2 linked regions of the Styela clava genome follow. The protein of the gene in region 1 purifies or fractionates together with the protein of each later gene. This does not show direct contact. Links are inferred from orthologs where the notes say so. Each region holds a gene or a part of one and is shown on either strand. Other genes may lie near its edges.

Region 1 (5,849 bases):
TATATTGAATGCAATATCACATAAAAAGAAATTTTATTATTGATAGCAGCAGAACCATGATTTCTCTTTAATGGTTGAAGACTTTAAAATTCTTCTTCTTCACTTCATTACGGCATCCTCAGTCTAGGAGTTGATTAACTTCAAATGTTAGTGTCCATAATTTACTCATCTTCATACAAGCTTCTTAGGGCAAACATCTTTATACCTGTGGTAGTGTTTGCTTATGAATAGCAATTTACAAATTGCTCAATAGTTTGTGTGTGTTTTCATATGTCATGCAACAATATCTGTATCAATCATAGCAAATAAGCCGTGGACTTGCATTCCATAAATTACCACCACAGGTATTTGAAGCAAGATATTCAGAGCCCAAAGAATGATTGCAAGTCACAAAATTCCGCATCCAATCTTCTCCTGAAATATGTTCAAGATTACTTCGTCATTATTTCAGATGTCGATAGATTCGATTCCACCTCAAAGAACTAGGTATTCTCAATGATACAATATTCTAAATACAACTCTAAAAATGAATTGCGAATGCATTACAATTGTCCATTCATTTATCACAAGCAATAATATACCACCACCAATCACCTCTATAAACATGTTATCAAAAATAATTGTAAATGCATTTCAACAAATGAAGCACAATAAATTTTGAAAACCAGAAATAAGATCGGTCTAAATCTTGAAATGGAATAACATAAATGTAGTATAAAATATGTGTCAAACTAATTCATCATCAAATTTTTGGAAACAAGAATTTTGTACAATTTCTCCATTTAAAGACAACTAGACATTGGCCCAAAACTTAATTCAAATTCAGAAAAGTTTTCAAAACAGTTCCTAAAATCTGTCATTTATGTGGTGAAAAATTCCATAATTTAGCAAAAAAAAATAGGAATGCGACAGTTTTGCTGTTTACAAAATCAATTTAGAATACGGACAGCAGAGAAATACAAAAAAAACCATACACAAATGTCTACACATTGCCTATATACCAAGTAATCAAGATTGTAGATAGCCAGATGAGAAAAAATGATTATTATTGCTTTTCTAATTTAAAAGACAAGACTATTGACAGCCATCTTTTTGTAATGGATTATTTGGTATAACCCACCTTGAATCGATATAAAATTCTGAAACTCACACACGCACAGCAGTGGTTAGACCAACTCGAATAACAAATGTTACAAAAAGGATGGCGCATAGATGCCTCCCTCGAATGAAGAAACCATAGTATCACATGATTGTTCTTGGATTCAATTGTTTATTTCGGCCATGTAGCTGTCCAACTCAGCATTCATTGCACCTTTTGTTTTAGTCATATAACTGTCAAGTTGTTCATCAAGTTTGTCTTTGTCTGCAGGTTCTCGTCGATTAGCTCCACCTCTTCCTTGACGACCTCCCCGACCTCTGCCACGACTTATGCCACGCCCTCTACCTCTCATACCCGTTCCACGCCCTCTACCAGTTCTCGTAGGACGAATAAATCCACGTCTTCCTGGATTGCGGCCTCTATTTAACGAATTGCCGCGAGGACTGGGAAACCCTCCACGACCACGACCACCTCGAACGAACTGTCCACGGCTTTGAAACCTTCCGCCTCTTATTCCCCGTCTTCCTCGTGCTGGAGGACTTCCTAATCTGTCACGAATCGACACCGGCTTATTATCAAGCGCAGCAGCAACTGCTGGCCGTCTTTCCATTTGTTGTGCGAGTCGACGATTCTTTTCACTTGCCATTCTCTCATTGGACATTTGAGCTCGCACAGTTTGGGAAGTTGTTCGTTGTGTTTTCATGATCGTAGAAAAACGGTCATTAAGACTGACCTTGGTTGAGCTTTTGAGAACGATTTTGGCAGGTGGGTTGGACGCCATTCTACTTCTGGAGTATACGCCAAAAATAACTGGATAATAAGTAACAAAACTCTAATCGTCACTAAACTATCTCATTCCAAGCGGGTCAATAATTCAACTTTAAATCTTACAGTACACACAATTCTGCAAAATATTGAGAAAATAAATCTTGTCCAAGTAAATACACAATAATATCTGGCAATGAATAAAATTAGTATAATAATTAGGCTATATATATATATAAACAAATCTTCTGCAAAAAATAGAGCGAAATTTTTTCATTTTTTGCCGCTATTCTAAGCAAGGCTCCATTTTTTCGATTATTTTGATTAGGCCAGATTCGTTTCCCAGAACAATTTTGCAATATTGGTATCAGTAATTATAAGTCCGTAAGTGGCTGAAATTATTTGAGATTTAATGAGATTCCCAATGATTCCATGATTATAATGCAAACTTAGCAAAGAAAACAATGTGGTAATTTTATGAATAAATCAATGACATCTGCAAACATGATGTCATCACTGCTGACTTTTCTAATTCATTAATCAATGTATGCCAAAATCACTCTCATTTGATTATACTTGCACTTGCTCTCGGAGAGCCCGTAAAAGTGACAGACATCAAACATGGTAATCTCAGCCGACATATTCAGAATAAGTAGACGATGAAACCTCACAACGAAATCTCATTAATGCACAATTTTCGCGTTTTTCATCTCTACTATAAAAGTAACATCTGAACATATAATAATCATTGGTGCCAACTTACTGGCAATAGGGTGGCGTAGCCAGTCTGCGGTCGATTTCATTCAAACCGCTATGAAACAAAAACCAATATTTCTAACCTGGTAATTTTTTCACAGTAGGTGCATGGGCATTTCTTCTACACGCTAAACCTCGAATTAACTTTCTACGACCAAAGTACGACACTCTGAAGACCTATTTGCGACCGAACGACCAGTTTGCGACCACAAATTTCAAGCCTTGAACATCATTTCTGCTGCGTCGAGACTAGGGCATACGCAGCCATGCGTGAAAAAAATTAGCTTCTAATTGCATTTCTGACCGTCATATATTTTAAGAACAAGGTTATTTCGAACAAAACTCGTCAAATTATAAATAAAGCACCGCATTACAGCAATCAAACAAACAAAAACACGGTGGTCGCGAATTGGTCGACAATGCTATTATCGACGTATTGGAAATGCGCACCCTCCTATTCCCCCTCCTTTGAATGTGGAAACGTAAAACTTTAAAGATGGTTGAAAGAAACAGAACTCTACCCACCTGCCAAGTTTCATCTTTTTATCTCTTATATTTGTATGGATTTTCAAGCTTTTTCAAAGGGACAATGGGTAGTTGGCGACATGGAAAAAGGGTCCGTTTTTTTTCCTCGGTCGGGTTTTCGGTAGTAACTTTTTTGTTTGTGGCCGCATTTTAGTGTAATTTCGCAGAGCTACGAGGGATACGGTAAGTGGACGATAACGCGTGAGAAATATCGTCTCGGTTCGTTAATTTTTTCGACATTAATTTAATCGATGAAGTTGATGGTCGCAAATAGGTCTTGGCCGCAAAGTGGGTAAGCCACCCTCTATTCCAATTACCATACTCCATTTTACATAGACAATTTTTAGCGGCCTACGATTTCTCTCGAAAAAATGATGTGAACCAAAAGCAAGGCATTAAATGTTATAACATTATTTGTGATAAATTTCGATCAAATATTATTAGTTTACTATTAAAATGTATAATGCGAGTCCTAATTTAGCATATCAGTATCTCTCTATCTAGGGATCACATGAATTTCGAACAATTCTAGAATTTTATTGTCCTGCTGTCCTGAGGAATGCCTGTTAGGTATCAAATAAAAACCAATGCTCAGGTAATTTCCAATAAATACCAAGACAGTAATATGTTTGAAATTTTGCTTAAATTTCAATCCAGCAATGTCTGGGGTCTAGTATAGTTTGGTACCACAAGTACTTCCAGTGGGCGTAGCATAACGAATTTTGCATATGTTATTCCTAACCCCCACCTGACTATGCCATCCAAAAATTACGTCACCACGACCCAGACTGGATTCCATGGCAGGTGCACGCCCGAGGGCGCTAGCGCTCCGCAAAAATGCACGCGAGCGAAAACAATTTTGCACGCCGAAAATTTGCAATTGCTCACCAATGTAAATCGGTTTAAATGGTTTTAAAGTCAATAATCCAGTAATATAAAGATGCCAAAATATTATAACTCCACAATTGTCGACAAATACCAGCTTGCAAGATTTGGTCTGATCGAAATATTGCGAAGCAAAAAGACCATGGACCTTTCCCCAACCTTTGAACCGCGAAAAATTCCTCTCACGTCCTTTTTTGCATCTTGCTGATTGGCCAATGTCACGAAGTAAACAAGGAAGTCGATGCTCGGGGAAAGGTCCATATCGTGTTGAATGATAGGAAATATGAATCCCGTGAGAATAGTTATGGACGAAAAGATCGCCTCCGCACCAATGGCCAAGTACGGCTCTGATTCAGCGTATTTTTCATACAATAATTTTACACGAATGTACTGAACAGTACCGGTATTTAAAGTTGCTCAAACACTCCCAAAATTAGTGACAAAGTATGAAAATAATGTTTGGGGTCAAAGGTCAAACGTCCATTTTGCTCTAATTTGACGTATTTTTTATCCATTAATTCTACGTAAATACACTACCAAAATTAATGACAAAGTATGTCCATTTTGCTCTGGTTCAACGTATTTTTTATCCAATAATTTTACACGGATGTACTGAACAGTACCGGTATCCAAAGTCGCACAAACACTCTCAAAATTAGCGACAAACTGTAGAAATAATGTTTGGGGTCAAAGGTCAAACGTCCATTTTTTCTGTGATTCAACGTATTTTTTATCCGATACCGGTAATTTTACGCGGATGTATTGAGAGGTATCTGATGTCAAAGTCAGTTGCACGCGAGTGCAGTTGTTTTGCACGTCGTGAGCTATAATTGCACGCCAGGAATTCTTATTTGCACGCGGGAATTTCTGATTGCACGCCCGATTTCTCGTTCAAAAAGGCCATGAAATCCAGACTGGACCACGACGTCATCATCACGTCATACTCATAGGGCTTGTCAAAGTATAATTACGATCGCCCAAAATGGCATCTGCGCCGCTGATAACGAACTCGCTAACGCCGGCGATCTCTCTGGTATCGGGATCGTTGTGACGAAAAAACGAGAGAAATAGCTTGCTCGATTTCGGATGATCGTCTGCGCGTTTTGGACTACCTTCCGCATACTTTGGTGGGCCTTATTACGCCACTGTGACGTCGAAATGACGTAATTTTTCGGTGACGTAGCCAGGTAGGGGTTACTGGGTTAGGATTGACATATGCAAAAATAGTTGAGCCAGGCCAACTAGAAGTGCATGTGGTACTAAACTATACCAGACCCAATGTCTGAATGTGGTGGCACGATCTTCACATTTGAATAACAATAAAAACAGAAAAATAGAACTGTAGAATGGGATTCAGCATTCTCAATTCAAGTATTCTAGAATAGAAAATTATTCTACATCCCTACACTCACTCAATCCAACACTTGCCACCTACCTATCCATGTAATCTCAACAAAATTTCCTTCAAATGGCTCCAGGCTGGTCCACCCGTCTGAGATTGAACCATAGACAGATAGAAGTAGACTATTTAAATTTTATATTTGCCAATGGCCGAATACTACCGGTACTGTACTAGGTGTGGTATAATAAAAAATTATCTTAGTTTACTCATATCTTCACATTTCATATTTTTGTTTTAACTATACTGGCATCGCCCCCGAGGTAAATAATCCTAAAAATGGTGTGAGTACTGTTGAACATTTTAAGCATCAGAGCTTTCGAATTTCAAAGTGACTACGGTACCGGTATTTGTCGAATTTGCAGCACGAGCGCTAGCATTGCGGATATCCCCAACCCTTGACCCTATAATATTTTCCAA
Region 2 (7,768 bases), on another chromosome or scaffold:
CAAGCTCAAATGGATTATCTGCACATGCAAATCTTTGACCAAACTTTAGTCCTTATTATCAGTTGCAATGACGTCATATACAACATCGATTTGACAGTATACAGGAGATTTCATAGCTAGTTTTCATGACATCTCATTAAATGGCCACCACATTGAGAATTGCACTACTGCAATTGATATTCTGTGAAACTCCAAATTTCTAACATTTCTCCCAACTGAAACGCATTATACAAATAAAAACGAACAAACATTTCAAATTGCTATTTACATATCAAATAACATTGCTTCCCAAACTAATTCTTCACGATGACAGCTATAAGAAATCAAAGACGATACCAACAATTAAAAACCATTGACACTACTTACACAAAGGAGATGCTTGCCTATCTTGTGTTAAAAGATAAAACAATCACAAAAATTACATTTGAGATTGAAGGACGTTCATTGGTAAGAGAAATCAAATACAGATATTGAAATTCAACTCCGTAAAGTGGTCAATAAAATTGCAAACTACATTCAATAATGTGTTATACCAGTCAATTCAAGCCTGTCAAAACAAAAGTCAATGACGGCAATCTTCAATCAAACTAAAACTAGAAATGGGTATCTATTTCTCAAGCATGATTGAAGATAGATCGTTCCATAATTCATGCCTAGTATCTTCGCTCCAATATTTATGTCTTGCCAGCTTGTTTCCGAAGGAGAATGTAGATTTTTTCTTTGATCCACTCTTTGTTGAATGGTGCGTATGTCTGGGTAGATTTTTGAAATACTAGGCAACAGAGATCAGCAAGTTCATCGATGAAATCAAACAGTTGACTGATGTCGTAAGTAATTGAAGGGCAATTGGGATTGATTCGCTTGAGATGTTCTTCATAGATCTTGCACACACCTAGAAATGTAAAATTATTTCAAAATAAAAATATTTTTGGAAAAACACATGCTAACATATTAGTACTATGTGATTGATATTTTCAATCTGTTTTATGTGAGTGAAATACACGCATACAAAAATGGACAGGTAACTGAAGTGTAGATTTCCAGCGTAATGCTTTCACCTTTGATATTGAGTAATTAATTTTATATTCTCACATTTATCCTGTGTTAACAGTAAACACATATCAGTATATAGTAACAAACCATATTTAAACGAACAAGTTTTTAATTTGAATTTTGGGTTAAATCTAGTTCAATTATAATAATTTTCCCATTATAAGCTGATATGAAAAAGTTATCTATATATTTTACAATTTATTCATCAAGGACATGCTATGAAAAATTAAAATGAATTCACATATTTGACCAGACATTTGGTTCAATAAAACAAACTCTATTTGTCTCTGGGAAGAGATCGTCTGGCATAACTGTAGTATGTAACTGTAGATGTGTCAGATCGCGCCATGCCTGTCTCAATAATACTTTTAAACCATAGCGACGTGCGCCGGCCAGCGTATGACCAAAATTGCAGTATTGTACTAAAAACTCTCAATTGCTATTTTTTTTTTTGGAGGTTATATTATTTTTTCTAAGGAAGGAATCCAATGGTGTAATTTTTTTGGTCTGCGCTTTCTATTCGTTCACTGCACAGTGGCTGTTCGTGCCAAAATGAAAGCCCAGACAGTCTAGTAAAAGAGGGGTTTGCACTCACTGGTATAATTGATGTCTTTTAATGTGGGGGCTATTCTCGACCGTCATACTGGTTTTTTTTTTTTAAATTAAATTCTCTTCTTAAAACATTAGTTTCCTAGATGTTTTGTCCTTTCTTGATGTATCGCTGTGTTTTTTTATTTAAATATCAATGTTCATTATATATGAACATTATAAAGACGAGAAACAATTATTACAATTCTTAAGTACTGGTATTTAGGCATAAAATTGATATGGCGTTCTGGAAATTGTCGAAATGCACCGGAAACTATTTTTGAGATTTCTAATACTGATAGGCCTACTTAATTCAAAGCATGAAACCATCAAGCACCATTTTCAGAAAATATTTGCTGTCTTATATGAATTATAAGCACAGTAGTTCGTATTGTATTCTGATCTGTGACTCCTGGACATCAATTGGACTTTGTATTGGGGCATTTATATAGGATAGGATTTACATATTTATCCCGGGGGGGGGGGGGGGAGGAAAGCCGATAAGATGGCTTATCAATATGGCGAACCACGGCCTCTCGTCCGGTTACCATTCCAAGTCGGGTATGGGATTAGTTTTATTGTTTGTTTTCGGAAGCATGGACTTGGTGGTGGAGGAAGCCGTAACCGACCAGCGGTTACGTGAACCACCCAACGACGGCGAGGAGTCCAGCAATCCTCTCGCACATAACCATCTCTGCATGGGATTCGAACCTGCGAACCCACGCAGAGTAATTAGAGGTGCGGTGGTGAGCGTATTCCTAACGCTTAGCCCGTTGAGCCACACCGCCGCGCAATTTGGGGCATTTATATTGGGGTCTCGTGTAGTTCCATACCTAACGTAGTTATGGCGTAGTCAGATGGCAGTTAGGATTGACATATCGAAAAATTGTTACCGGTATGCTACGCTCACTAGAAGTATGTTAGGTACGGTAGTACCGGTACGAAACTACATGAGACCCTTATACCGGTATTGTTGGTAGTCATGGTTTTTAAGCATATTAGCATTCAATAAACAGACACAATACAATAAAACAATTGATAATAACGACTCGTTACGAATTATTGAAACTGACAATGTATGCAGGTCACATTACGGTACCGTACCACATTCAGACATTATGTACTGATATGATATGTACTGATATTAGGATACTCACCCTCCATGCATTCATTCACCGATTCGTAGTCTGAATATGTCCGCCCCTCAGGCTTTTTCGTTGGCTGAACAAGAAGTATTGTGTGAGACATTTTAAATTTTCTAAAATCTGCTACGAGGAGAACAAAACCGCCTATTCCAGTATTCGCACGCAAGGAATCGACAGCAGCAGAACCCAGTCACCAGTCAGATAAGCAAGCGCCGTTTTGTCAGATTATCATATTTCAGACAAACCTAAACTACCGAATTTCATACAAATGTGTTCCGTGCGCGATGTATTTGCCCCGTAACTATGGATGTTTTCCCGAGCATCGATTTCCCTGTTATTTCCGTAACAATTACCAATCAGCAAAGAGTCAACAATGACGTAACAATTGCAATTTATGCCGCCGCTCAGACATTTCTTTCGACTAGACTAGACATATATATTCAAGCGTAGTTGTAAACATCGCCTCTTTTTAGTATAGTTCCAAAAAATATTTGTGAATCAAAAATAATTATTTAGGATAGAATAGGATTTACATATTTATCCCGGGGGAGAGGAAAGCCGATAAGACGGCTTATCCATATGGCGAACTACGGCCTCTCGTCCGGTTACCATTCCAAGTCGGGTATGGGATTAGTTATATTGTCTTTTTTCAGAAGCATGGACTTGGATAGAATGGATGGACTTGAAAGCATGGATATTTGTTATTATGTCTTCCCAACGACTAACATACCGTCTTTCAGGATCTTTAGTTTTATCAAAAATTGATATCGCAAGGTAGCAGTACATGTAAGCGGCACGTGGTTCAATCCCCGTTGACCCTATGTCTAATGGGATCCTATAGATAGTCCAATGATTTTCGCCATTTTGTGCGTGCAAACTAGATCACATCTTCACAATTTTGTCCCAAGTTGCTGAAAAGAACTGACAGCTAATTGAAAAAAGTCTTCGCCTTTCTCTATTTTGTCTTTATTTGGAAAGGGTCCTGTTTTGAGACAATTGAACACCTCAAAGAAGCATACAAAATTAGGTCTGGATGATCAATGTATAAATGATAATGCTGTTCTGGATTTCCAGCTATATCTTCAAATAAGTCCAAAAATAATAACATATCCCATACCAGTGTTAACATCAATGACGATTTTATTTCATTGGTTGTAAATATTGATGATTGTCACTGTGTTAATACTGGGTTAAGACTGGGTCTTATTTCAATCTTTCTCCGAAAAATAACACTAGGGCTTATTTTCATTTTCAAAAACAAAATTACAAAGTAGAGAACTACGGGATTTTCAAGTATACAAAACATGAAAACCGATATCCATTAAATCATAAATATAGCGTTTTTATTCAAAATAACTGCAAAACATAGATTATTAATCATTTTAAACGTGTAAGCGAGATGTCTTGCTATCGACTAGGTCAAAAAAAAAATTGCGTCATTGACTAGGTCTTATTTTAAGAGTCGGGCTTATATTAAAATCGTTTTTAAAATTCGGACTGGGTCTTATTTTCGGGGAAGTTCAGTAGTTCACGCTTGCAACAATCATGCTTTAAAACCAAGCAGGGGCGGTACGATTCAGCCTCCTACTCTTAATTTGTGATTTACCGCATAAATCTTTGACGAATGTTTTCTTTGGCATGTAAAATTTTGAATAGGATAAAGATAAACTGTTCAACTTTATCAACGGTTCAACCATCTTGAACAATCAAGATTAAACTAACAAACCTTGTACAATATATCACAAGAGCAGCTAGTTGGTCAAGGCAAACGAAGAGCATTTAAACACTGCGGAATTTGAACAAAATCGGCACAATGCTCGAATTACATGCTCACTTATTTGAAAACCCAAAGCGTCCTTGTGGTTCCATTTCCATTCCTGCCAATATTCCTATCGGGCGAACATTTTTATTAACAAATGGCGATTAAAGAGTTTTCAAGGCAGTGTTCCGTGGGAGACATTACAAAATACGCACAATCAAAAAACTTGAAGAGGTACTGTCCTAATCTCACTGCTGCAAAAGACTTAATTATGTAGATTGCACAATATATTTCAAAAGCACATTGGTAAAACTTTGGGTAGTCCTTGATCAAGATATCTTTTAAATTGCTGAATTGAGAATTATCGGCGATTTGTACAAATACAATCAGAATAAGTACTGGTCTCTAAAAATTTGATCAGATATTAACGATGCCTTGTAACAGTTGCAACTTGGCAAAAGGAGATTTGTAGATAGAATGTACATTAATCATTATATAGAAAAATTTAATAAGATTTTGTTTCTAGCGCATTTATTGATCATATTATAGCAGAGTGGCAAATGAAAATGAATATATTATCTGAGGCGACAGAAGCCTATGCCTAACATAAGTATGATCACTTTCAAAATATATCAACCACCAATTCAATGAAAATGATGAAGAAAAAATTACGTTCAATTACCGGTAGGTTTTCCTCAATAAAAACTGTTCTGGAACTGGGAGAGAATAACTGAACCAACAGGCCTGTGTTGAACAGATGATACCCAATTAACAATGTGTGTTGATTTGAAATTCATGTTGCACATTTTACATTTCATAAATCATATAATATCAACATTCAAAAATATGTCTTAAACAGTGCATGTATATGATTATCGATAATACGCAGATAATAAAAATTTCCTCACTTCACACCTTGATAAAATTAACTTCTTCACTCAGTAATACAGAGATGCCATAAAAAGTAGAAGCAAAGATGGATATAATTTTGAATTCTGTCGGAATATTTCATACAAAATCGAGGTCTTCTATACCATTTCTATATACGAAGACAAATGTATTTATATCTTCAAGAGTACTTTCGTTGGCACATTTTAAAACAGTAAAAATAAAGCACACCAAATAAAGCATAAGCCATTTGATACATTTCTACCTTTGGCGTGACCCAAAATGAATATTTTGATTGCACATAACACTATTCAATACGGTTTCACAATCTCTCGAAGACGTTCAAATTCTAAGTAAAGAGTATGTTATATAGACACGATTTGGGGGGGGGTCGGTAGGTGTTTTTAGGTATGACCGAATTGCCCCTAGGGATTGTCACAAAATGACTTGCAACTACGACCTTTGCTCTTGAATATTATTCTCCTAATTGTGCTTAATATAAATAATTCAGGAAATTTTTTATTTCAAAATGGTAGAAAATCGCATGGCAAACAATCAAATCGCAACGCATGACAATGGCTAAAACATTCCCACTCGGATAATTCGGCATTTAAAATTTGAGTATTATTGCAACTGATACTGCATACATGAAACAATGTTGACCAATACCACTCAAACGCTAAAAATCATGACCAGCTTTCAACATAACCAGTCCAATCTACAGGAGGAGCAAGATAAACTCTTCTACCTCTGAAAATAGTGGTTACAATACCCATATATGCTGTCCTTGGCACCCCTTTTTTAAAATCGGACATAAGTCCAAGCTCCTTAGCAAAAGCTTTAAAAGTATGTGACATTGTGTATTCAATTCGAACTTCACGAGAGTCTGGATCTTTATTTTCTTTAAGATCGCTGATTCGAAACAGTGGAAGGTTGTATACTTTATCTTTGAAAGATCTTGAAATATAAAAAAAAAGAAATGCAAGTCTACTAATCATGAATAAAGAGAGGAAAAACTCTAAAATGAGGTAGGAAATTATTGTCAAAACACATGATTTAGAATCGTGTAGAAAAAGAGTTTTTTTTGTGAGCTATTAGTCAAGTATAACATCACACCAGTTGGGAATTATATACAGATTAATATTCAATTCGGAGAAACCGCATATATCTAAATGCACAAAAAAAAACAAAGCCTGACCACTTAGACAACGAATTAGCGTAAGTATATGGCTTCTGCATGTCAGAATATTGTTGCATGTTAGATTTTAATTGATGCCATTTCGGCAGAGGGTAGAACAGTACAGCTTTTAAATTATTTCACAAATATAATATAAAGATTAGTCGGAATGTTATCAGACAAGCAAATATAAAACACATCTCCCTAACCGTTGGTTGGTAATTACTAATAGAGCGGCTTGACAAAACATTACTTACTATCTTATACATTCATAATTAATATAAAATAGAACCTTTGAGCTTGAATAGACTTCAATAAGGTAAAAACATACTTATCATAATTATCTTTAACGAGGTACGAGAGATCTTTTGTCGACCAGTCGACTGGAAATTCATTTAACTTGATATATTTCAAGTGAGTATCAAAGAACTGTCCAGCACTGACCTGTACAAACATAAAGCTCAATTTACTCACAATGGAAATAAAATAAATGAATAATGAATAGGATCTTATTAGTAGAACAATACTGGCTTATAGGTACTTACAAACACAAACTTATAAATAAACAAGGAAGCAATATTAAAATATATGGACACAAAGGCTAAATGACCTCATTGCTGTATGAATGTCCGCGAAATTCCAACAATAACTTAAAAGTATTGAACTGAATGATATATGAAGGTGTGCCCATTAACTATAAAAATCAGCAAAAATTGGGGCAAAACATAAAGACCCAAAGGACCCAAAAAAATACAATAAACAGTAGCGTTTTAGAACTATAATAACAACCTTAAAATAACAACCACACCAATTTAGCAAAAGACCCATGAGTTCAATATGCATTTGATAATTACCCCTTTTCTTCCAAATGTTGAAGTTCTTGATACCTCAGGCCTTATGCACGATCTTCCTTTCCTTTGTTCAGGTTCTCTCATCCAGTCATCCCAAAATGCCTGTGGCCATTTGGAAACCAATTCTTCTTCCCATAGACTTCTCTGAATATATAATATTTTGATTTTAATAAAATATAAAGCCATACTGTCCTTAACAGAGGCCTTTTTAGTGACCTTAATAAATTCAAAATTAGTATCAAAGTATATCACAAGATTCATATTTTTAAAAATACGACTCTTATGAGTCAAATATGACTCAGAAACA

What was found. The genes of interacting proteins can lie anywhere in the genome.
Region 2: the proteins of uncharacterized protein LOC120342097 (region 1) and enhancer of rudimentary homolog purify together in Homo sapiens (affinity purification with mass spectrometry; 3 studies listed by BioGRID and IntAct, with this or other methods). This does not show direct contact. The link is inferred for Styela clava from reciprocal best matches to the Homo sapiens genes CHTOP and ERH.

The regions. Positions count from the first base shown.
Region 1 is NC_135252.1:15,318,170-15,324,018, forward strand, and holds uncharacterized protein LOC120342097, read right to left. Parts: upstream 2,035-5,849; 5' UTR 1,881-2,034; coding exon 1,263-1,880; 3' UTR 520-1,262; downstream 1-519. UniProt on the Homo sapiens protein: Plays an important role in the ligand-dependent activation of estrogen receptor target genes. May play a role in the silencing of fetal globin genes.
Region 2 is NC_135254.1:14,324,841-14,332,608, forward strand, and holds enhancer of rudimentary homolog, read right to left. Parts: upstream 3,005-7,768; 5' UTR 2,890-3,004; coding exon 2,799-2,889; intron 893-2,798; coding exon 675-892; 3' UTR 247-674; downstream 1-246. Other genes in the region: alpha-1,3-mannosyl-glycoprotein 2-beta-N-acetylglucosaminyltransferase-like, read right to left, coding at 6,120-6,390, 6,942-7,054, 7,465-7,605. UniProt on the Homo sapiens protein: May have a role in the cell cycle.